4 linked regions of the Ovis aries genome follow. The protein of the gene in region 2 interacts with the protein of the main gene of each other region in a biochemical or structural test. Links are inferred from orthologs where the notes say so. Each region holds a gene or a part of one and is shown on either strand. Other genes may lie near its edges. The genes, in order: IPO8, EIF4E, EIF4G3 and EIF4EBP3.

Region 1 (5,481 bases), on a different chromosome or scaffold from region 2:
TGAAATCCATACTCATATAGATTGATTCAAAAGAAATACTACCCCTTTCAGGGCTGAAAAATATGACAGAAGAGAGAATAAGACACTTCTTAGGAAAGCCACATCTTTAGGAAAAAACACATTATGAAAAACCAGAGCCAGTGCATATTGTACAACCCCTGAAGAAAGCCCCCAGCAGCAGGGGGTCAAGGGGAGCAGTGATGATTTTGAAACCAGAGTGACTTGTAGCTAACTGTCTAACAGGAAATTCACATAGTAAAATACAGAATAAATCAACATACAGCCAAGGTTTACATTTATCTAGAAATATGTTTTATGCTTTAAAAAAAATTGCAACACACTCCAAAAAAATTTTTTTCAGATAATTCATGTACAACAGAAGGCACTGTTATTCGCATAAATCCATTGATTCTGCATGGCAAAACCTGAGACGTGCAATTCCATCCAATCCTCTAAATCCACCTTGGTCGTTCATCCTTTGGAGCATATGCTTTGTCCTTTTCAGTCCTACGATTTTGTTTTTCTTTAATTCCATACATTACAGCAGCTGCTTAAAATATATATTTCAGGGTGAGAAAGATCAAAGGGGACACAGGGGCAGAGAAAGGTGCTGCCGGATGCCAAGCGGTAACTGGCACAGCAGGTGGCACAAACAGCAGCCCCTCCCCAGCTCTGCTGACCCTCTCCTTCCGCTGACGTTCAATGTAACGATGACATTTGGTCAGTTGATGTTCCTTCTTTCAGTTGTTGGTAGGCATAGTCCCAAAATTAAATGCAGAGAGGACTCCTTTGTTTTCAAAGGTGAAGCCTCCCTGTTGTTCAATCTTCTTCTTTGCCTCTAGAATTTGCAAGAGAAAGCAGGGAAAAGAGAAGAGTATCTAAGGTAACAAAGTTGGAAATATCCTCAAAGGAGCTAGATTCTTTAGAGTTAGCACTGTGAAGGAATGTGAATCGTGGTATTAATTATTCTGCCCAATTGAACACTAGCCTTTAACAAACCCATGTCAGTAAGTACAATCGTCCAGGTGTCTGGGGATATGTAACCCACAGATACACAGGATATAGAGGGCCCACTGTACCACACCATTTTAACAAGGAACTTGAGCATCCTAGGATTTTGGTATTTGAGGGGAGCCTAGGAACCAATCCCCTCTGAAGATACTGAGGAATGACTGCAATTATAATTCCTATTTTGGAACAACTGTTTGCTAAAACTGAGCAATATAAAAACAAGGCTCAAAGCCATAGTGTCTACCCCTAAAAGGGCACACTCACTTCTCCCATCAGGAGAGGCGATACAGAATCTGGGCAGGACTGAAGTCTAAAGTCCATGCAGAAGAAGCTGGGTTCTAAACTCTAGATTCCTATTCCATATTGTCTTCCACTAAAATACTTCTGTAATTACAAAATCTTCCATTAATTTTCCAGAAGTGGCCATAATAATATCTGCGTAAAATAATTTCTCCATCTCAAAAACTGAAAATCAACAAGAATCACCAACTTCTACATAAAGCCCAACAAAAAGAAATGGAGAGTATTTCATTTCTAGAAATATAAGGTCCTTATAAGAACTCATAAAATGCCTTTGATTCACTGTTTAGATGGTTAGGTGGGTGACCCAGCTGGTTAACTCTCCTTCAGCAAGATTCATCCCACCTTTATGTCTTAGCTTTGGCTCCAAAATAGGATAAAGGTGTGAATAAGAACACTACTAAAGACAGATATTAACACAGGGTGTTTTGCAAAGCTATCGTAAGTGATTAAAAAATCATAAAATAATGATAATTTCTTATTATCTTGAAAGGTTGGCCTCTAAAACCAAATTTTAGAGGCTGGTAAAAATAAAGGCTAACTACCAACACATGCACTCTGATCAGAAAATCATGCTGGCTGACCTGCCACTGTCCTCCGGTGCTCGGCCAATGTGTACACCTCCTGCAGCGCCCTCCTCTGATCCTCACTGAGCGGTGCCATCAGCAGTTGATACCACGCAGCATCCCGATTCTGCACAGCTGTTGTAATGCAGGGGTGTTTCAGGGGAGAAGGAATGATAAGGGAGTCCAGTGACAATTATTATTTCAGATAATAACTAATGATATAATCAAATTACAATGAAATGATAACAGACAATAGGTGATAAAACTTATTCCAACAAAGGATGACTCCTGAGTACTCACTTTAGTACTCAACCTATGTGGGGCTACAAAGGAAGGCTGAAGTGAAGTGAAAGTCGCCCAGTCATGCCCGACTTTTTGCGACCCCATGGACTATATATAGTCCATGGAATTCTCCAGGCCGGAATACTGGTGTGGGTAGCCTTTCCCTTCTCCAGGGATCTTCCCAACCCAAGGATCGAACCCAGGTCTTTGCATTGCAGGTGGATTCTTCACCAGCTGGGCCACGAGGGAAGCCCCTTGTAGAAGGGTTGGAACACCACAAATCTCTCCCTTGCCTAGTTCTCTGTCTCCTTTGCCATCTCCTCCACTTCTTGGGGTTTCACTAACTATGAAAGCTCCCTAAAGTCCAGATCATGGGAAACACTTTACTCACTTGTTATCATTTTCCTCAGGAATTCTCATGCTGCTGGCACATGCCACATGCTACCTGCATCTACACCAAAAACTCGAATTTGTACCTTTAGGCAAAACTGTTCACTAAACTTCCTGGACTTTCACATTGGATAGGTCACCTGCAACTCAGCACAACTGTAACCAAATGTAACATTTTACCTCTCAAACTCTCTTTGGATCTCCCCATTTCCATCACTAGTTCTATCAGTCTCCTGGTCAACCACTATCATACCCCCTGCACATCCAATTCTGTGCTTCTTTCTTGATGGTTTTCACCTATATGCTTTTTTTCATCAAACGCCACCCTTTCTCTCGAGGGCCTTACTTACATAAAGCAATTTCCTAACACCTGGTTCCCAAGTCTAGCCCACTTCAGTTCTTTTTGGACATTATCAATAGATAATACCCCTGAAAGAAACTACCACATCCCCAAAATCACCTCTTTATACAAAAACATTCAACAACACTCTAATGGGCAATGGGATAAAGACCACCTCAGTCCAGAATCCAAGGCTGGTACAATTTGGTACAATTCTAACACTTCACAGAGACTTAAGCAGTGGTCCCTATATATGCTGACTGAACAAAGTTGGTTGCCTATCTCTTGAGGAGCTTTTTCAAAATACATATCCTGAGATCCCACCCAAGACCAAAGAGCTTCTTTGTTGGTTATGGTGGACACCCAGGTCCAGTAGCGCCTTAGAGCACACCCTCTGCATTCCAATTTCCACCTTTATGCTCTTTATCTTCCACATGTTTTGGAATATCATTCCCTGGACTCTCTACCTCTTGTTCCTGCTAAATTTCAATAAAACACAGAGGTGATTCATTAATGGTATTTGTAATAAACAATACACTGGCATACTACATAATGTCAGTATATTAGGCTACCACTACCTTGTTAGTATTAACAACAATATTTTAGGGTTGGTGTTCAAATTGAACAAGGATGTTCAATTTAATATTCTTTACAACAGCAAAGAAACAAAAAACTGGAAATATCCTGTATGTCCATCAGTGGAAATAAGCTAAATTATGATACTGCCATAGAAATACAATGCAACTATCAAGCAACCCATATAGTGGGATTTCTTTTCATTATAACTTGTTTATAATAATTTTCCATATATTCTCATTGGTTTATCACTTATTTTTAATTCTATAAGTTTTCTATTTATATATCTCATTCTTATACTAGGTTATTGGTCTTATTCATTTATAGGTTTCTGTAATCTGTAGATCTTACATGACAGTATTTTCTTCCAATCTTTTATGAGTACTTTAACTGTATTTCTAATGTCCTGTCCTGTACAAAACTGATATATTGCTTATATAGTTAAAAATGTACTCTCTTATGGACTCCATTCCTTCCCAAGGGGACTGTGAATTGCTGATAAGTTTATGGCCACAATTTTTAAGCAAAATATGTGAGATACTTCATTCTGTAAAAATCTTTCTTTATACCTAGAGGATGAACAATATATATAGCTACTCTGCCTTAAATTACTTTTATGAGGATATCCTGCAATCTTACCCTGACAGTATGCTATCTGCTCTCATTTTATGTATGTTTGGGGATTTCTATAATTAAAAATAAATACAATTTTTACAGGGAATTCTAAACTAATTTGGGGTAGACCCCAAAACAACATCTAAAAGATGGAAATGAAAAACATATCTGACGATTCAGGGAGTAACAACATACTCAGCAAAGCTTGTGTAAAAAATTGATATTCATCCACACTATTGTCAAGGTCCAGCGGAGTACTGAATCCCTCAAGAGCAGTTTCTTCCAACACTTCTTCATCCCAGTCATCGTCATCTTCCTCCTCATCTTCACCTCTTCCATTATTTGACTGCATTGCTTGAGCAGTTACATTAGTCTCCTCTTCATCACTTGAAATCTCTTCTGTGAATCCATTATTCATTCAAAAGTAATCAAATCACATAAGGACAAAAGATAATCCAAATGAAAACAAAAATTATAAAGTGACATTCTAGAAATGGAAAAACTATCAAATAACTTTATGTAAAATAAACCTTACCTTTACTATAGCTTGCTAAATTGAAAATGAGTTTATCTTCCTCATTTAAAACAATTTCTAACTATCTCTAAATCTGTGATCTAGATGAACTGTTATTACTGTTTAACAATGGCTGCTTCATATCCATTAACATAAATACTATTTAGCCACAGATTCCCAAATTAACCTTTTTGTAAAAAAAAGACATAAAATGATTGTGTACTCAGTACATGTGTTTTAAATAACAATGACCTCCCATTGAGAATGTGAGTCTCTTAACAATTAACCAAGATATTAAGAATTACCAATTGCTTGGAAATATTCAAATGAAGAGGTCATTTCCGCTAACAGAAACAGAAAAGTTTAGAAATATTAAGAAAAATAATCAGCTACACATGGGTTAAAAAGTAGATAGCTGAACTGTGTATCTCCATAGATTAGTTTCTATTTTCAGGCCCAGTCTGTTCCAGGCAGACCAATACTGTAAATAACTGGAAGATAGTAAATGCAGGGCAAAAATCAATCTAAGAGGAAAAACCTGGAGTAAACTTACACCAGGCATTATTAATCTAAATCTAGTTCTATAAAACATACCATACTGAAGCACTTGGATTAAGCTGCAAAATAATTTTAGGGATAACGCAAGAAACCATAGTTTTTACCACATACACGGAAAAAAAAAAAAACTATATATAAAGGATAATAACAAGACAGCAAGAGATACCTTTGTTGGTTAATCGTCATACACTTAAGTAGGAAATTCAATAAGAAAGTCTGGGATATTACTAAAAAATCTTCCCTCAAGTCTTAATAATTATAAGCCAAGAGAGACCAAAGTAAGAAATTAGAAAGAGTGCAACATACTGGAAAAAAAGAATTCTGATTGC
Region 2 (5,481 bases):
TAACAAGTTAAATAAATCACACACTGGACAGGAAAAGCAAATACTATATGATTTTGCTTATACATGAAATCTAAAAAAAACTTTAAAAAAGGAGAAAAACCCACCCCAAGCTCACTGATACAGAGAACAGACTGGTGGTTCCCAGAGGCAAAGGGGTGAGGAAATGCATGAAGGGGGTCAAGTGGAACAAACTTCCAGTTATAAAATAAATCATGGGGATGCAACGTACAACAGAGTAAATACAGTTCATAACACTGCACTGCAAATGTGAAAGTTGTGAAGAGCCTAAATCTTAAAAGCGCTCATTATAAGAAAATATATTATAAGTATGTATTGTGATAGATGTTGATTATGATCATTTCACAATACATACAAATACTGAATCACTGTGCTGTACATTTGAAATTGTTACACTTCAACTGAAAATAATAAAATTCCATTCCATTAAAAAAAAATTGCAGCCATTAAAGATTTATTCTAGAAAATGACTGGATGACTAAGCAAAAATATCTGTACAATAACGTTCTTAAATTTGGAAAACTGGAAACATCATAAGTGCCTATCAACAGTTCTAGAATGTGGTTTACGAATCCCCTTAGGCATCTTAAGACCCTTTCAGGAGCACTGATGAGTAAAAACTATTTCATAAAAGTCCTAAGATATTTTATTTTTCACTGTGTTAACATGTTCACTGATGATGCAAAAACAACAGTAAACCTAGCAGTGATGTACATAACAAGAATCATACAGTGGCACCCATGTCTACCATTTGTCACTGTTCCTGTATTATAATCAACTCTCAGAAGAGTAACTGCCAGTTTCTTGTAAGAATGCCACTGATGAAGCAGTAATAAAATACTTGTTTTATTAAATTTCAATCTGTGCACATGTTTTTTCTGCACAAAAAATACTTCTGCATACCAAAGACAATGCTTAGGCATTGAGTTGTGAGGAGAACTAGTCGCTTTCTCAAAGAACACCACTTTTACTTGGAAGAATAGGCTGATCAATCATGGTTACGTCTTGAAAAATGAACAGAGTGAGCATGTAGCTAAAATTTAAGCTTTCAGGAGAAAAATCAGAATTTTGGAAAGCCTGCAGGTGTCACTGAGCATGACAATTTAACAAAACTTGGGTATATTTCTGGGACATTTAGTAATGATAATGTTATTGTTTTGATATCATATAATAAAAAATGCCAATATTAAGGTCTACAGACTCACTGAACCAGTATTTTCTAAATGACCAGTGGTATTCATGAGTGAAGAAGGATATATATATTTCAAATGCAAGACAGATCAATGGATTTTAAAGCAACAGAGTAGAAAAAAGTTCTTAGATGTGGTTTCAGATTCTTTATTGCAACTAACCTGCAAGAAACCTAGTATCAAAGGAAGGAGATATTCATAATTATAAAAGGCCATTAAAATTTCTCCTTTTCCAACCATGGTATATTTGAGGTCATATTTTATCCTTAAACTTCCTCTGAAACAACGTATCTCCAAAGACTTGAAAATGCAGAACCAGCTATGAAAACCTAGCTGATTTCTATTAAGCCAGGCACTTGAACATATTTACAAAAACGCTGTTCTTCTCATTATGTATTTTTTATTTTGAATAAATTTTTTCCATAAAAATCATTTACATTAAAATGCAATGGGTTAAGTACATATGTAATTTTATATTTTTTGAGATTTTCTAATATAGCAAATGAAAATAGATGAAAATCTATATAACCTGTAAAACACTGTGGAATCCTCAATAATTTTTAAGAATGTAAAGGGGTCATGAGCCCAAAGAAGTGAGATTTAAATAATTACAATAAATAATTTTAAAAATATAATAAACATAATATATACATGCAAGAAGACTTCTAGGCCACTATTAAATGTGTTAATTGTGTGGGTTAAAAAAAAAAAAGGATAAATATGTGGGTAAAATTCTCTTAAGACTGACATGAAACCCAGAAACCATGGAGGAAAGTTGGCATTTGATTATATGAAAATAAAAAAACCTTTAAAATAACACAACTCTTTAGACAATGTTAAAAGACAAATGATTTGGAAGTGTATTTCAACCTAATCCCCCCTTGGATCGGTTAGCATCCCTAATGTACAATGCTTAGAAATAAACTTGAAAAGATAACCAAAAAGAAAATAACAGACAATAAGAACTGAACAGACTTCTCACAGGTAAAAACACAAATAAGCAATTGTCTTGAACAAAACTGTTTGAAACTTCAATAGAAGAAATGCACATTCAAAACAATAAGACATTGTTTTCGCAAATTAGGCTAGAACCAACCTGACAGGCAATTAAATTTAAAAGACTGACGGTACCAGTTGGCAAGGATGTAGAAATCAGTAAGTCTAAGCAGATAAAGGAGGATAATTTGGCAGTGTCTACAAAGGTAGATAATGAGCAGTCTTAAACCTAAGAACTCGGAAATTTTACCATATAGATATACCACTATATTCACACAAGTGCAAAAAGAAAAAAAAAAAAAGGATGCATACATTAGTACTGTTTGTAAATTTAAAAACTCTGCATACTCATTAATGTAAGCCTGATAAAATATGACTGTATATTCATTTAAAACAAAGCTGTGGATTAAAATAAAGACTTAATAGTATGGCAATCTGCAATCTGTATAGATTAAAAAAGTATATATATGTACATTGAAAGGTTTTGGAAAAATACAAACCAAATTTTTAACAGACTATTTTGGGGAGTGGAGCAAAACAAAATGAGGAAGAAGGTATCAGGGAAAAACAGAGAACTTAAAACTTTGTATACTTAGAGCCTCAATGATTTAATCGTTCTTATAATACGATAGTGGTTTTTATTTTAAAGAAAACATAATTCCTTACAAAATTATTTACAAAAAGTAAATAATGAAGAAATCACCAAAATCAGAACCAAAAATGTCTTAGAACAGTTTTCAATGTGATGTTATTTTACACAAGAAATAAGAAATTATAGAGAAATTAAAATCTTCACAGACTTCATTTTAGGATTTAATCAGTTTGTTCACTGATAAGGGCACCTTTCAGGAATCTCAGATTTCATCTTAAGCTATGACGGATATATGCCTTGATCTCCCACAATAACAGCAACATGAAGAACTGTGTTCACAGAGAGAAAACAGTGAGCTTTTTATATGATACCACTGAAAAGATGGGGGGAAAATACTTTAAAGGTTTTAGTACTGCTGCTAGGATGAACTGTATAAAACTGCCACTCATCAATTGTCCAACTTAGTATTAGTTTGGCACAATCTTTCCTGAGAAAGAATTTTTTCCTTTTATCAACTATTCGACCTTCGGTATTTCACACATTGGCTGACAATCCACAGTATCTAGAGAACTGACTTGTTCCTCCCTGGAGGGTACGCTGAATCACCCACCTTCTATGAAAAAACTACTAAAGCATATTTGGACTATTACTTCAGAAGGTCTACAATGATAATGAAGAAAAAAAAAGGACATAAAGGAACAACACACTTTTCAGATAAATGAAACCTAATTATAGACTTATAGGGTCTGGGAGAGGGGGAATGAAAGGAATTACAGATCCTTGAAAGTTAATTTATCTAATTTACTTTCCTCCAGATTCTTACAATGTTTCTAAGTGTTCCCACCATCAGCTCTCAGTGAATTAAAGTTAAGTTTTATCAGATAAACAAGAAAGATAATTAAGTAAAAGCACATACTGGGAAGTGGTAGGGTGGAGATAGGAAAAAGCATATACTGAAGTATTAAACTACTACATTGCAACTATGAAAACTTAACTCATCCTAAACTCTCTTTTCCTCTTCTAAACTTCTCTTAAAATACAAACCAACCAATATCCAGACTCCACATACCCTAGGTTCTTTCTTCTTCACAGACCATCTCAACTTTATCCTTCAAATTGTCTATTCCTGCTCTATACATTTGTATATTTCTATTCACTCTTCAAACTACACCAATCTTTTTCTATCATCTACTCTACTAACTTTCTCCAGTGTTAGCAAAGACTTATTGTTCAATCCAATGAATATTTGACCTTTTTGGGGCATATATGCTGTACCTTGTCCTTAAACCATTTTCTTGGTTTCCATGACTAACACTCTGCCCTAGTTTATGCAGTATATATGTCTATACTCTTCCACAGGCATTCTTAAAAAATTTTATTAAAGTACAGTTGATTTACAATGTTATGGTAATTTCTGCTGTACAGCAAAGTGACTTAGCTATACATCTGTATATATATTTTCATATTCTTCTCCATTATGGTTTATCATAGGATATTAACTATATAGTCCTCTGGGCTATACAGTAGGACCTTGTTGTTTATCCACTCTCTCTATATAATAATTTGCATCTGTTAACTCCAAACTACCAGTTCATCCCTGCCCAACCCCCTCTCTCTTTGCACCACGTCTGTTATCTTCATAGCCATTCTTACCCAAAAAAAATCCCCATGTGCTAATATTCCAAGCCTCTGTTGTGAGTCAGATTCACTTAAGAGAACTCATTTACTCCTATGGTTTCAACTACCATTCAAAGTTACACTTCCTGAGCGCAAGATTCACACATAAAACTGCTTGCCAGATGTGGGTCATCAAAGTGAAAATGGAATCCTCAACCTAACATACCTAAAACCAGTCTATTCTAACCTTCCCCTCCAAACCTGTCCCATTCACCATTTATGTTGTTGCCCAAGTCAAAAAATCTATGTGTCAGAAAGCTTACCTGTTCTGTAAAGGATGTTTAATATAGTGTTCTGGGTTAGCAACCTCCTGATTGGATTCTGTTTTCTCTTCTTCTGTAGGCGGGGGATTTGGAGTAGGGGTGGTTTCCTAGTGGAAAATAATTAAACATTATAAACTTCTTAACATGAAGAAATAACATTAAGAAATTTATTTGTACATTTTTATTGAAATATAGTTAATTTACAATGTTGTGAAAACTTAATCTCTATGACAGCAATACTCTAAATAAATCTTAACCAATACTGTCCATAACATTTTTTTTAAAGAATGAATTATAGGAGAAGCATTTGATAAAGTAGACCACTAGCCAAACTCTAAGAAAAGCACTAGACTCTTCTAGCATCTCTTCATTAAGAGCAAAATGTTTCTCAAATTTAAAATATATATTGTTATCTTCCAATTACAAATTTAACATAAGATTGTTAGACACCATGGAAAATAGGAGAATGAAGTATCTTTAACATCCCATTAAAGTGCTGTGCATGGCAGGGGTGGTTAGTGGGAAGGGCCAGTTCAACTAAAGTTTGGAGAGCATAATTAACTATATTACATGACACACAAAAAATCTTTATAAAATGAGTAAGGCAATACTACACAGATCCTTGCCTTCATGTCACACTGTTATGATATATGGTAACTTTATAAAGTTGAGCAACTTCTGTCATTTTCAAACGATCCTAAGGAAAAAAGCTGGACACCAGCTTGAATTGAAATCTTCTAAATCG
Region 3 (5,481 bases), on a different chromosome or scaffold from region 2:
AGAGCTGAAACTCACACCAAGACAGTCTGGCTTGAGTCTACGCCCTCAACCTTTATACTAATATGACCTGTTCACCATCTGAGCACGTCATAGCACAGTGGACAAAACGAGCGTTCCCATTTGGATGTCATCTCAGAAGAAACAATCTTATAAGAAAAACGGTCATTTCCTTTCCTTTCTGGAAAAAGTTTCCTTTCAATGTTCCTAAACTGAGTCAACAGAATTTTCTATTTTCTCAGGTGTAAAATGCTTACTATTTCACGTTTTTTTCTTTTCTTCCTTTTTATTTTTATCACTACCAAGTTTTAACCTCCTTCCACATAGGATTTCAACTGACAACAGTGTTTCTGAGTTTGGTATACCCTTTGATTCACCGTGTGACAAGCAATGTGGTCACTGCTGTTCAGTTGCTAAGTTGTGTCTGACTCGGTGTGAACCCATGGACTTACACTGCGCTAGGCCTCCCTGTCCTTCACTATCTCCCAGAGTTTGCTCAAACCCATGCGCATTGAGTTGGTGATGCCATCCAGCCATCCCATCCTCTGCCGCCCCCTTCCCCTCCTGCCCTCAGTCACTCCCAGCATCGACGTCTTCTCCAGGGAGCAGCAGACCCCTTTTATTGACATGTACCCAGCCCATCATCAAGCCTTTGCTCAAAAGCACGCGGCGGCTCCTCAGTGTCAGCTCGAGCCCAACTTCCTGATTTGGGTCCACTCTTCTCGGATTTTTTCAATCCTTCTCAACACTTAAATTTTACTCTAATCAGGCTTATTTATTCTTCTTTACAGTATATATTTACTTTAGTTTCATGACTATAATTTTTCCATCCCTTCCAAATATTGGCCATCTACCAGTGCACAGTTCAAGTGTCCCTTTCCTCTAGGTTGCTATCCTGCCTGTTCTGAATTTTAACAGCCTGAGTGGAGAATACATTTCATAACTGATAGTATCTTCCGTTTGCTTGAAAACATTCCCTTTATTAGTTCTGGCTTCCAGAGGGAAGGAGCTGTATCTTCTACTTCTTTTCATATCCCTCACCTATACTGAGTATACAGAAGATGCTCAATAAAGCCTTGTTGATTGCTGACTTTGGAGTAATCAAAGGAATAATACGTACTTCCCACATTCTCTGTTTTTACACAACCAGTCTCCAGGTGATGCTGTCCCACTTGCCACTCACCGTTCTGTTCTCTGGGTCAGTCTTTCTGCTCTCATCTCACACCTGAGTGTAGAATTCTCAACATATCCATCCCTCAAGCCCCTGAGCTCCCTAGCGCCCGGCAGACCCACCCCTCACCTGGTCGTCTCTTCTCTTTGGTCATGAGTTGCTGGACCTTCCTCTGCTCTTCCTGTTCTTCTATTTTAGCTTCTTTGTGAATCTGCTCAATAGTTTTAGGCCCCTGATCTGCTCGTCGTGATACCCAATTACACTATAAAAGGAGAAAACCAGGATGTCAGCCAGATAACTAAAAATAGAAAGGAAACTTCAGAAAAATCGGTTTCTTCCTTTCACTGCTAGAAAGGCATAGCATACATGTAAACCTGGCGCTACAGCAGGCTCAGCCACCTCACAGATGGCTCTGTGTGCAGTTCAGATGCAGTGCTGAACACTGAAATCTGCCTCAGCCACTGAGTCACTCTATGCAGAAGCCAACGGATAGAAATACAGAGTGAAAGAATGGCCCAACTATCTACCTACCTACCTATCTAGCCAGCTATCTGTACATTTTATCATTTCGCACTTTCCAAAGGAGAGAGAGGAGGAATCAATAAAGATCAGGACTTCTGGCCTTGACGCTGTTGGATATATTGCTACTCAGTTCACACCACACTCCGCTGGGGTTCTAAATCGAGGATGACTAGCATTTTCCTTCCTCGCATATGGAGGTTGTGGTATCTATACAAAATGTTCTAAGCTCTAGCTCTAGTTATCCTCTCCACTAAGGGTAAGACAAGCTGTCTCCTTCAAGTTACACTTCTCCCATTCCTTCCCTTCTGAGCTATAGTCTCAATATCTGATACAAATATGAGTGACTGAAGGAAGAGGCGGAGCAATTTTTAACATTTACTTATATTAGTTTGAGGCAAGAATGGCAAATAGATTTAAATCGCATTCAAAATTCTGATCAACTGGAAGTGACTTTGTTAATAAGGATCCTGAGGTCACGTCTCAGCTTAGTAAGATAAAGAGCCATCGTCAATGCTGCCTGGTCTGAGGGCAGGGCAGGGTACAGAGGGGGACCTATATTCACTTCCTCTACCTTAGGGTCAGTGGCAGTGTATTTCCTCTTGGAGTTGAAAAAGGTGGTAGTGGTAAAAACTATACTTAGCATGACAAAGGAGGGAAAAAAAGCAGCAGAACAAGAGGGTATACAGGAAAAACAATAGAGAGGAAAACATCTACATCTCCTGGGAGCTGGGCACATACATAACCACTGAATCTTTATAACACACCTGCAAGGCAGACAATGTCACCACTTCAGAGATTAAAATGTAAGGCTCGGGGAAGAGAAATACATTTATTTTGAAGATGAGAATTCTTGATTATTTAGCATGCTAAGATTAAATTAAATGACCACAGTTTGCATTCAGAATGGCTGGTTTCAAAACTGCAAAGTGGTCTGATCACCAGAATAAAGAGAAGAAATAAGTTACAGACAGGCAGGTGTATATGCTCTTTGTCCTTCCACATAGCTCTCGTCACAGTTTGTCGATCCATGTTCTGAGTCATGCGGCAAAAGCATTACGCCATTACACATATAAATCCTACGACATCCTCCCCAAGCCAATCCTGAAAAGAGACTGAAGAGGTAGGTTGATTTTTCTACTTACCAGCCTTAGATCTATTACATCCTGAAGCATGAATCGAATCCTAGATGAGGTTTTTCTTTCTTTCACAATTTTCTCCATCTGATTAAAATACTGGTCCATACGTGGCTGCAAGATACAAAATCACTGGTATTCCTGGCTGAGGAATTCAAATGTTGTTTTATCACACAGAATTTTAAGACAGCATAGGAATACAACTTTTGGCCAAAAGGAATTGTGGTAGAATTTTTAATTGAACATGACACCCAAAATAAAGGCTACACATTCCAGGCGGCAGGCCATGGCCATATGACTAAATATAGGCCAACAGAATATAAATGGAAATGTCCTACTGCATCCCCTTGGAACCTTAAGAGAGAGGTGGCTGTGTCCTTTGCCCTTTTCTAACCTTCTTGGCTATGATGTCAAGAAGTACTCCAGGGCTACACCTTAGGGATGACAAAATGTTACACTGGAGGAACTGAAATTTTTTGTCATCTCTTAGCCAGCCACAGAAATGTATTGCTATTCATATACATGTGAAGGCCCTGTAAAATAAAGGACATGGGACAAATAATCTCAATTCATGACCTGGCTTTTAAATTCTTTTGGACCCTCTTCACTTCTGACTTTAATGAAAACGTGGTAAGGAGCACCATGGCCCAACACTGACAGTGAGAAGGACGAAAGAAAAGCAAGCAGCCTTGGCTGCTAGGATAAGATGGAGACCTGTGTTGACAGTCAACTTCCGCAGCTGACAAAGAGTCCCTGCAGGAGGTTTCTGAGATTTGGGGGTCGTACCTTTGCTTTCTCAAAGTCCAGGTCTTTGCCAATTGTGGTGAGCAGGCGACATAGACACTCGAGGGATTCTTCATCGTGGTTCTTCAGCAGCTTCACCACACAGTCATGCATGATGGCTTCAGTCAGCATTTTGAGCTTAAAGAGTTCGCCAATGAACTTGATGTTGCCAATGGATCTCCGCCGGGCTTTATCTTTAGCTTCTTCCAGTTCATCATGAAGCCTTGTCCTCTCCTCTGGCTATTGCATAAGGAAGAATAACAGAATCTTGATGATGAAGATCGTACTACTCAAAAGATGCTAAAAACATACGTGTGACTGGTGTTGCCTGTGTGCTCGTTCAGTGCAGACCTGGCAAGTCTCCTATGAAGCAGCAGCTAGGGAGACTATGGAGCTCAGCACTGCTGATGAAAAGCTCAAGGAAGGCGTCAAAACCAAGAAAAACAATCATACTAATTTGAAGGTGGAGGGGCAGGATGGTTCAGAGGTGCCGTTTAACATTAAGAGGCATACAGCTCTTTTATTAGTACCCTAATAAAAGCCTATTGTGAATGAGAGGGTTTGTCAGTGAGGCAGATCAATTCTGATCTGACGGGCAGCCAATCAGTGAAAAAGACACACCTGAACAGTTAGAAGTGGAGGATGAAGATACAACTGTTGTGTTCCAAGAGCAGATAGTAGGTGTCTACTAAATAGGGAACCCCTAGAATTCTGTTCCTCCAGACCAAAAAGACACTCTCCGCTAGAAAATCACAATTTGGTTCCGCCACATCCTGACTGCTGGAGTGTAGTTTCTCTACTCTTTCATTTTCTCCTTTCTCATTCCCTTACTATACACAGAGTAACTGATGTATATGCACACGCATAGTGCACTTGAAAAAAACGACAGGGCCGATGGTATGTTTTGACTGACACCAAATGAAGATGGGATGGGGAAAAATACTGGTCTGGTGAAAACATCCCCTTTATCTCCATTTGGGGCATACTCATCAACTCTTTTCTTTATACTCCAGTATATTATTTTGCTTTCATTGTCTAACAAAAATAGAACCACATAAAAATTCTTGCACTCCTTGTTTGATTGGAGGATTTTAATGTTTTCCATTTACCACTGTAAAACCAGTGACAACTTTATAACTTTTCTGTATGTAGCTGTTACACGTAGGGCAATCTCTGTTTAAGTAAGGATAAATTACTCTAAAAGAAGAAATGATCCTATATAATTTTCCCTTCAAGTCAATTGTCTTGCTGTTTAAATAAACTTCTTGTTTAAATTAAGGGTCAGGTAGACCCTTTGAGGTTTTGACAGTTAACCACAGACCTATTCAGAAAATAAAACTATACCCACAAGTTCACATCCATTTCAGGAGATTTCTGGAATTCAGTAACCTCTCTGAAGTCTAGGTTCTGAATCCCTGTCTTAGAAGGTTGAGTTGTTTTAACATGTGGCGCTAAAAGGAATAAAGCTTTCCTCTAAACATCAATACAGTATAGCTCCACCTGAAGAAAAGGCCACAGGCACCTACTGAAGAAGCAGGGCGATGAGGTAGCCGGATTCGTGAAAATTCTGGTAACACTCAAAGTGCACAGGCACAGTTTTCCTGTGAAAACACTTACAGCACTGGCAGCCTCGAGTTCTTTCTGCTTCTTCTCAAAGACATCATCATCGGCTTTATCTTTCTCAAATTCCTTCTGGCAACGGTTCAGTAGTAGCTTCCGGAAGTTCACTGTGTTACCAGGCTTGTCTGCCATGGGTACTTTCAGCTGCATCCAGATGGGAAAATGCAAATGTGGCAAGATTACTTAAAGAAATCCAATGATTTTCTCAAAATATCTATTTTCTTTATTGTGCAAAATAATGCTGACCGAACCACA
Region 4 (5,559 bases), on a different chromosome or scaffold from region 2:
AGCTCCTATATTCTAATGGTCAGTCAGTTCAGTTCAGTCACTCAGTCGTGTCCGACTCTTTGCAACCCCATGAATCGCAGCATGCCAGGCCTCCCAGTCCATCATCAACTCCCGGAGTTCACTCAGACTCGTGTCCATCGAGTCAGTGATGCCATCCAGCCATCTCATCCTGGGTCATCCCCTTCTTCTCCTGCCCCCAGTCCCTCCCAGCATCAAAGTCTTTTCCAATGAGTCAACTCTTCGCATGAGGTGGCCAAAGTACTGGAGTTTCAACTTTAGCATCATTCCTTCCAAAGAAATCCCAGGGCTGATCTCCTTCAGAATGGACTGGTTGGATCTCCTTGCAGTCCAAGGGACTCTCAAGAGTCTTCTCCAACACCACAGTTCAAAAGCATCAATTCTTCAGCACTCAGCCTTCTTCATAGTCCAACTCTCACATCCATACATGACCACTGGAAAAACCATAGCCTTGACTAGACGGACCTTAGTCAGCAAAGTAAAGTCTCTGCTTTTGAATATGCTATCTAGGTTGGTCATAACTTTTCTTCCAAGGAGTAAGCGTCTTTTAATTTCATGGTTGCAATCACCATCTGCAGTGATTTTGGAGCCCAGAAAAAGTCTGACACTGTTTCCACTGTTTCCCCATCTATTTCCCATAAGTGTTGACAAAAACCCTCTGATTGAAAATCTTTCTTGGTCCTTCATGCAGGTTGAATGGATGATGGATCTGGCTTTCTCTCTAAAATCCAACTACCTATTCTCTAGTTCCCCAACCCTTGTAGCACACAGTGTCTCAAGAAAAGTAAGCTTCTGGTGGTAGTCTTATCGTAGTAGTAACTGCTGCTGTTGTTTTAGAAGAGATTAATAGATGGGAGACCTCGCTTCCATACTGATCCTTCTTGACAGCCTTTGACACTTGGCTCGTAGTTCTCCTGCTCTCACTGGTCTTTCCCATTCTCCTCTGGTGAAATCCTCTTCCTCCACTACCCCTTAAAGAAATACAGATGTGCCCAGGCCTCTTCTTTTGATGTATCTTCTCCCCAAGGAATCTTATCCCACAGCCTTAGATTTTACTCTACCCAAATCTGAATCACTAGCCCAGAGTTCTCCCTCTGTAGCTTCAGACCTGTACATCTGGCTCCTTACTTAACATTCTCCAGTGTTTTCCATCTGAACATTCCACACACATTATATATGACCCAATATAATATATGCCCCTCCCCTTGTTTTCCTTATTAGTTGGTATTATAAACTACCAAGACTTTCAAGTCACAAGACTGGGACTTATCCTAGCTTATCTCCTTCCCACCCTACCCTTAAATCAGTCACCTTATCCTTACTCCTCTGTGTATCTGGATCCCCTTCACTTCTCTCCATCCTTGCAGCCACTGTCTTCTTACCCACCCCATTTCACTAGGCTGGAGTCTTCACCTTCAGTCTCACTATTCTCCATCCCATGTCTCACTCCCCTCATTAGACTACTTACCTTGCTTAAAAGTTGAGTTGTCATAGACGGTTCCTCACAATCTGATCCCAAACCTTATGCTCCAGCACTTATTGTGAAAACACTTCCTTCCGGTATATACCACTTTATAAGAGGCTCAAAAGCCTTTTTGGAACAATAAAACATTTATATCCTTGCTACCTGAAGTGTGATTCTAAGGACATGCAAACCTAAGGGTCTGCATCACCTGGAATTTTATTAAAAGCTTAGAATTTCAAGTTCTAATTACTGTATCAGAATCTTCATTTTAGTAAGATCTCCAGGTGATTTATGTGTACGGTAAAATTTGAGAAGCAATGACTTGTAAAATACCGTTTTTTTTTTTTTTAATAAGTAAAGAAATCAGAGCTGAAGGAAAATTTAGTGAAGCCAAAGCTTAACTAATACTAATAAATGCATTAAATCAGGCGGCCTATAATTAATTGGCTGGAAGAGAAGGGGGACACTGGTGAAGGGTATACTGGTTTTGAGGAAGCCAAGCAGCAAACAACTAGATCAAGTTGAGATTTTTAGTGTGCTCAACTTAGAACTTACTCTCTTACCATCTCTTTCATGACTTTCATCATGCCTACATCAAAAAATCTCTTTAAAGGCCACTCTTGGGCCAGTGGTTAAGACTCCACACTTCAGTGCTCACTGCAGGGAGCTTGGATACCATCCCTGATTGAGGAACTAAGATCCTACATGCTTGGAGACTTGGCAAAAAGAAAAAAAAACAACCCAGGCTCTGTCTTGCCAGAGGGCTAAAAAACCAACCCCTCCTTTCCAACCCCCAGCCCTTCTTTAGTTTTCTGAGGTTGTGAGGTTAGCTAGCAAAGATTAACGGCAGGGGAGGGGACCACAGAGGATGAGATGGTTGGATGGCATCACCCACTCAATGGACAGAAGTTTGAGTAGACTCCGGGAGTTGGTGATGGACAGGGAGGCCTGGCATGCTGCAGTCCATGGGATCGCAGGGTCAGTCAGATACGACTGAGAGATTGAACTGAACTGAGGTTAGCTGTGGCAGAGATCAAAGAACAGGCCTATTGTATCTTCCAACCTTTATTCATCCTTTAATCAGTCCACTTATTCCACAACTAATGTCTGTGCACCAGGGCATCAAGGCACTTTAACCATGTACTGAAACTGATTAACGGGGGGCATAATAGCTGTGCTTAGGGGCACACATTTAAATCAGACGCACTCAAGTATGAATCCCAGCCCCCGCTCCTAATACAAGATCCGTGACTTCCAACCATGACCTAACCTCTCTGGGCTTTGGTGTCCTCACTTGTAACTGTAACTAATAATAGTGTCTTACTATCCAACTGTTAGGAATGGATGAATACAAACAAAAAACGTGTGCCATACCTCACACGCTCCCAGCACCCGCTGGAAATAGTAAATAGCAAATGACTGAGTGGCTGCAGCGCTCATAGGCAAAAGCAGGCTGGCCTATTTGGGGCCAGGAGGAACTGGAGACCACTGCGGGTCCCGGGACACGCTCCAACTTTTCGCTGAGTTTGGGGCTTGCTCCCGCGAGGGTAGGGCGGGATCTTCGGGTTGAATGACGGCCGGCCCGCCCCCGGCGTGACGTCGTCCCGGTGTTGTGGCTGCGACCGCACGTGGTAGACACAGTCCGCGACAGACTACGCTCTGCGACCTCAGCACCAGCCGCTGCCTTCCTGCTCTTTCCGTTCCCTATGCCCTCATCCACCAGCTGCCCAATCCATGGGGGCAGGGAAGGGCTGCCCAACTGCTACGGCAGCACGCCAGGGGGCAGCGGCACGCTATACGCCACTACCCCCCCGCCCCCCGCCGAGGTCAGAGGGCCGGGCCAGGGTCGACAGGCAACAGGCAGGCCTGCATGTGCTTGTCGACGGGCGTGGGCGGGGAGTTGCAGGCTGGGGTTGTGTGCAGGACCCCTTGCACGTTTTAGCTTTTAGCGGGGTGGGTTCTTGGAACTTAAGTTCAGTTCCCTAAAACCTCGAAGTGATGCAACATGGCCTTGTGCCTATTTTCCGGGTGACTCTGGGCAGAAATCATCACTGTGGCCTGGGTTCTGGGCTCCTTGTTCACCTACCCCTGCCAGTATTGCCGCCTGGGAGTTATAGCAGGAGCTTTGGCCCCTCGGCTGTGTGGCCTCAGCAGGAAGCACCTGGGTTTTGCAAAGCTGCAAGTGGTGGGGATCAGGGGCTGGAGGTGGGGGCAGTCGTGGGGCAGGGGCTTTAGGCCGCTGTGCTGGCTGGCTTGCCTAGTGGATGACTGGTGGAGCAGCCTGGAATCATACCTACTCAGGGGTTCCTGCCACGCAGGGGAAAGGGAGGAGAAGAGGTAGGGCCTTGTGACCACATGGCAGGGGCCAAGTCCTCTGGGCTGAGCTGAGCCTGACAGGACTTGGGAGGGGTCGGGATAAGAGCCTGTCCCTGGGTTTCACAGGAGCACTGCCCCTCCCTGTCTGAGCCCAGGTGGCAGCATTAGCCTTCACATCTGTTCTTTGGCTTCCTCATCCAACTGAGGCTGAAGGGCTAGGCACTACCTTTTGAACCAAACAGGTGAAGTTCAGAGCCAGCAGAGGACAGGAACCTCCAGAAGCTCTTGAGCTCCAAGTCTGGTGGTGCTCCTGGAGCTCCCCTAAACCAAAAGCCCCTGCCTAGACCAGCTGGGATGCCCCACTTGCTCTACGGTGCTGACACAACTTGGTTAGGCCCAGAAGCCTTCAAGTGCTGTGAGAGCTAGTCAGCTGAGATCCTGACTGGGCTGCAGAGCAGTAACCCTTAAGAAAAGGGAAGATATGACCCCTTGGCCCCTAAAAGACCTGTGTCTGGGGTCCCAAACAGCTTTGTACCCAAGCTCCTGCCTCTTACCTAGCCCCTACCCCTTGACAGGCACCAGGATCATCTACGACCGAAAGTTCCTGCTGGAGTGCAAGAACTCGCCCACTGCCCAGAGGCCTCCCTGCTGCCTCCCCCAGACTCCCGGGATCACAGCGCCTCCAACAGCCCCACCCCCCAAGCTAGAGGAGCTGACGGAGCAGAAGGAGACAGAGGAAGAGATACCCGGTAAGGAAAGCAGGCCCTAAAATTTTACTATGGCTTTGAACCCAAAAGCCCCAATTATGTAGATTGGGGGCGGGGGTCAGTTCTGAGGGGGCTGTCTGAACTAACACTGAAGCTACAGACTGCCAGCCCAGCAACCAGTCCTGCCCTTTCTCTCCCCAGATGATGCACAGTTTGAAATGGACATCTAATCCAGTGCAGATGACCATATGTGGAATGAGAGGAATCCATCACGCTGCTGCCGCTACCTCCTTTCTCTGGGGTATCCAAAGGCCTACTGGCCTCATCTAATCCGGAAGGGGGTGATATGTTGGTTCTGGGCCTCCATGTTGGGTCTGAGGCAGCTAGACCAGGGATAGGAGTGGGCAACTTGCCAAGCCCTTAGCTCTACTTTCTCTTTGGTCTGTAGGCACTCCTCCCAACCCCTGGCACTTGGCTCCAGCTGAGGCTGGGCCAGGGGAATGGAGAATGTCACTTTCTGACTGCTTAGTAAACATTCAAAGAAATGCCTTGGCTCCAGTGTTCTCCTCAATGTTGATCTTCCCAGCTCAGCCATAATGTAAGGGCCCCAGCAAACCTGGTTAGGATAAGAGGTCTCAGGTCCCTTTCTAGCTCCCTCTGGGCCCACTTTGAGCAGCAATTAGACCCTGAGGCAGACTTTGGGGACAGGCCATAGGAGCTGCCAAACCGTAAACAGCAATAGCCTGACCCCTGCCAAGGGCAGCTGCAGCCTTTCCAGGAAGCACCCTTCCCAGAATCAGCCTCTCTAGCCGTCCCTCCCTAGTTGTTTCAAAGCAGGAAACAAGAGGCAGTGCCCCAGCCTATAGCCTTCTTTGGTCTCTCCCCATGCCTTTTCTGCCTCCTACCTGTAAGTACCAACGTTATTCCAACACTGAAAACCTGTACTCTCCCTTCTCACAGCATGATGTGAACCTCCTGGCCCCTTCCACCTGGTTCTGTTGTCCTCAAAGTGTTAGAAGACCTTAGGGCCCAAACCGAGGCAGCAGCTTATTT

What was found.
Region 1: the proteins of EIF4E (region 2) and IPO8 form a complex in vitro, tested with the Homo sapiens proteins (2 studies listed by BioGRID and IntAct, with this or other methods). The link is inferred for Ovis aries from reciprocal best matches to the Homo sapiens genes EIF4E and IPO8.
Region 3: the proteins of EIF4E (region 2) and EIF4G3 form a complex in vitro, tested with the Homo sapiens proteins (3 studies listed by BioGRID and IntAct, with this or other methods). The link is inferred for Ovis aries from reciprocal best matches to the Homo sapiens genes EIF4E and EIF4G3.
Region 4: the proteins of EIF4E (region 2) and EIF4EBP3 form a complex in vitro, tested with the Homo sapiens proteins (2 studies listed by IntAct, with this or other methods). The link is inferred for Ovis aries from reciprocal best matches to the Homo sapiens genes EIF4E and EIF4EBP3.

What each region holds. Positions count from the first base shown.
Region 1 is NC_056056.1:184,421,646-184,427,126, reverse strand, and holds part of IPO8 (importin-8), read right to left. Parts: intron 4,480-5,481; coding exon 4,276-4,479; intron 2,013-4,275; coding exon 1,896-2,012; intron 839-1,895; coding exon 741-838; 3' UTR 1-740. UniProt on the Homo sapiens protein: Involved in nuclear protein import, either by acting as autonomous nuclear transport receptor or as an adapter-like protein in association with the importin-beta subunit KPNB1.
Region 2 is NC_056059.1:26,265,415-26,270,895, reverse strand, and holds part of EIF4E (eukaryotic translation initiation factor 4E), read right to left. Parts: intron 4,844-5,481; coding exon 4,737-4,843; intron 1-4,736. UniProt on the Homo sapiens protein: Acts in the cytoplasm to initiate and regulate protein synthesis and is required in the nucleus for export of a subset of mRNAs from the nucleus to the cytoplasm which promotes processes such as RNA capping, processing and splicing.
Region 3 is NC_056055.1:245,522,289-245,527,769, reverse strand, and holds part of EIF4G3 (eukaryotic translation initiation factor 4 gamma 3), read right to left. Parts: intron 5,371-5,481; coding exon 5,224-5,370; intron 4,299-5,223; exon of another isoform or gene 3,995-4,298; intron 3,847-3,994; coding exon 3,610-3,846; intron 2,938-3,609; coding exon 2,833-2,937; intron 1,431-2,832; coding exon 1,298-1,430; intron 1-1,297. UniProt on the Homo sapiens protein: Component of the protein complex eIF4F, which is involved in the recognition of the mRNA cap, ATP-dependent unwinding of 5'-terminal secondary structure and recruitment of mRNA to the ribosome. Functional homolog of EIF4G1.
Region 4 is NC_056058.1:49,382,520-49,388,078, forward strand, and holds EIF4EBP3 (eukaryotic translation initiation factor 4E-binding protein 3), read left to right. Parts: upstream 1-3,122; 5' UTR 3,123-3,189; coding exon 3,190-3,293; intron 3,294-4,369; coding exon 4,370-4,548; intron 4,549-4,707; coding exon 4,708-4,736; 3' UTR 4,737-5,051; downstream 5,052-5,559. UniProt on the Homo sapiens protein: Repressor of translation initiation that regulates EIF4E activity by preventing its assembly into the eIF4F complex: the hypophosphorylated form competes with EIF4G1/EIF4G3 and strongly binds to EIF4E, leading to repression of translation.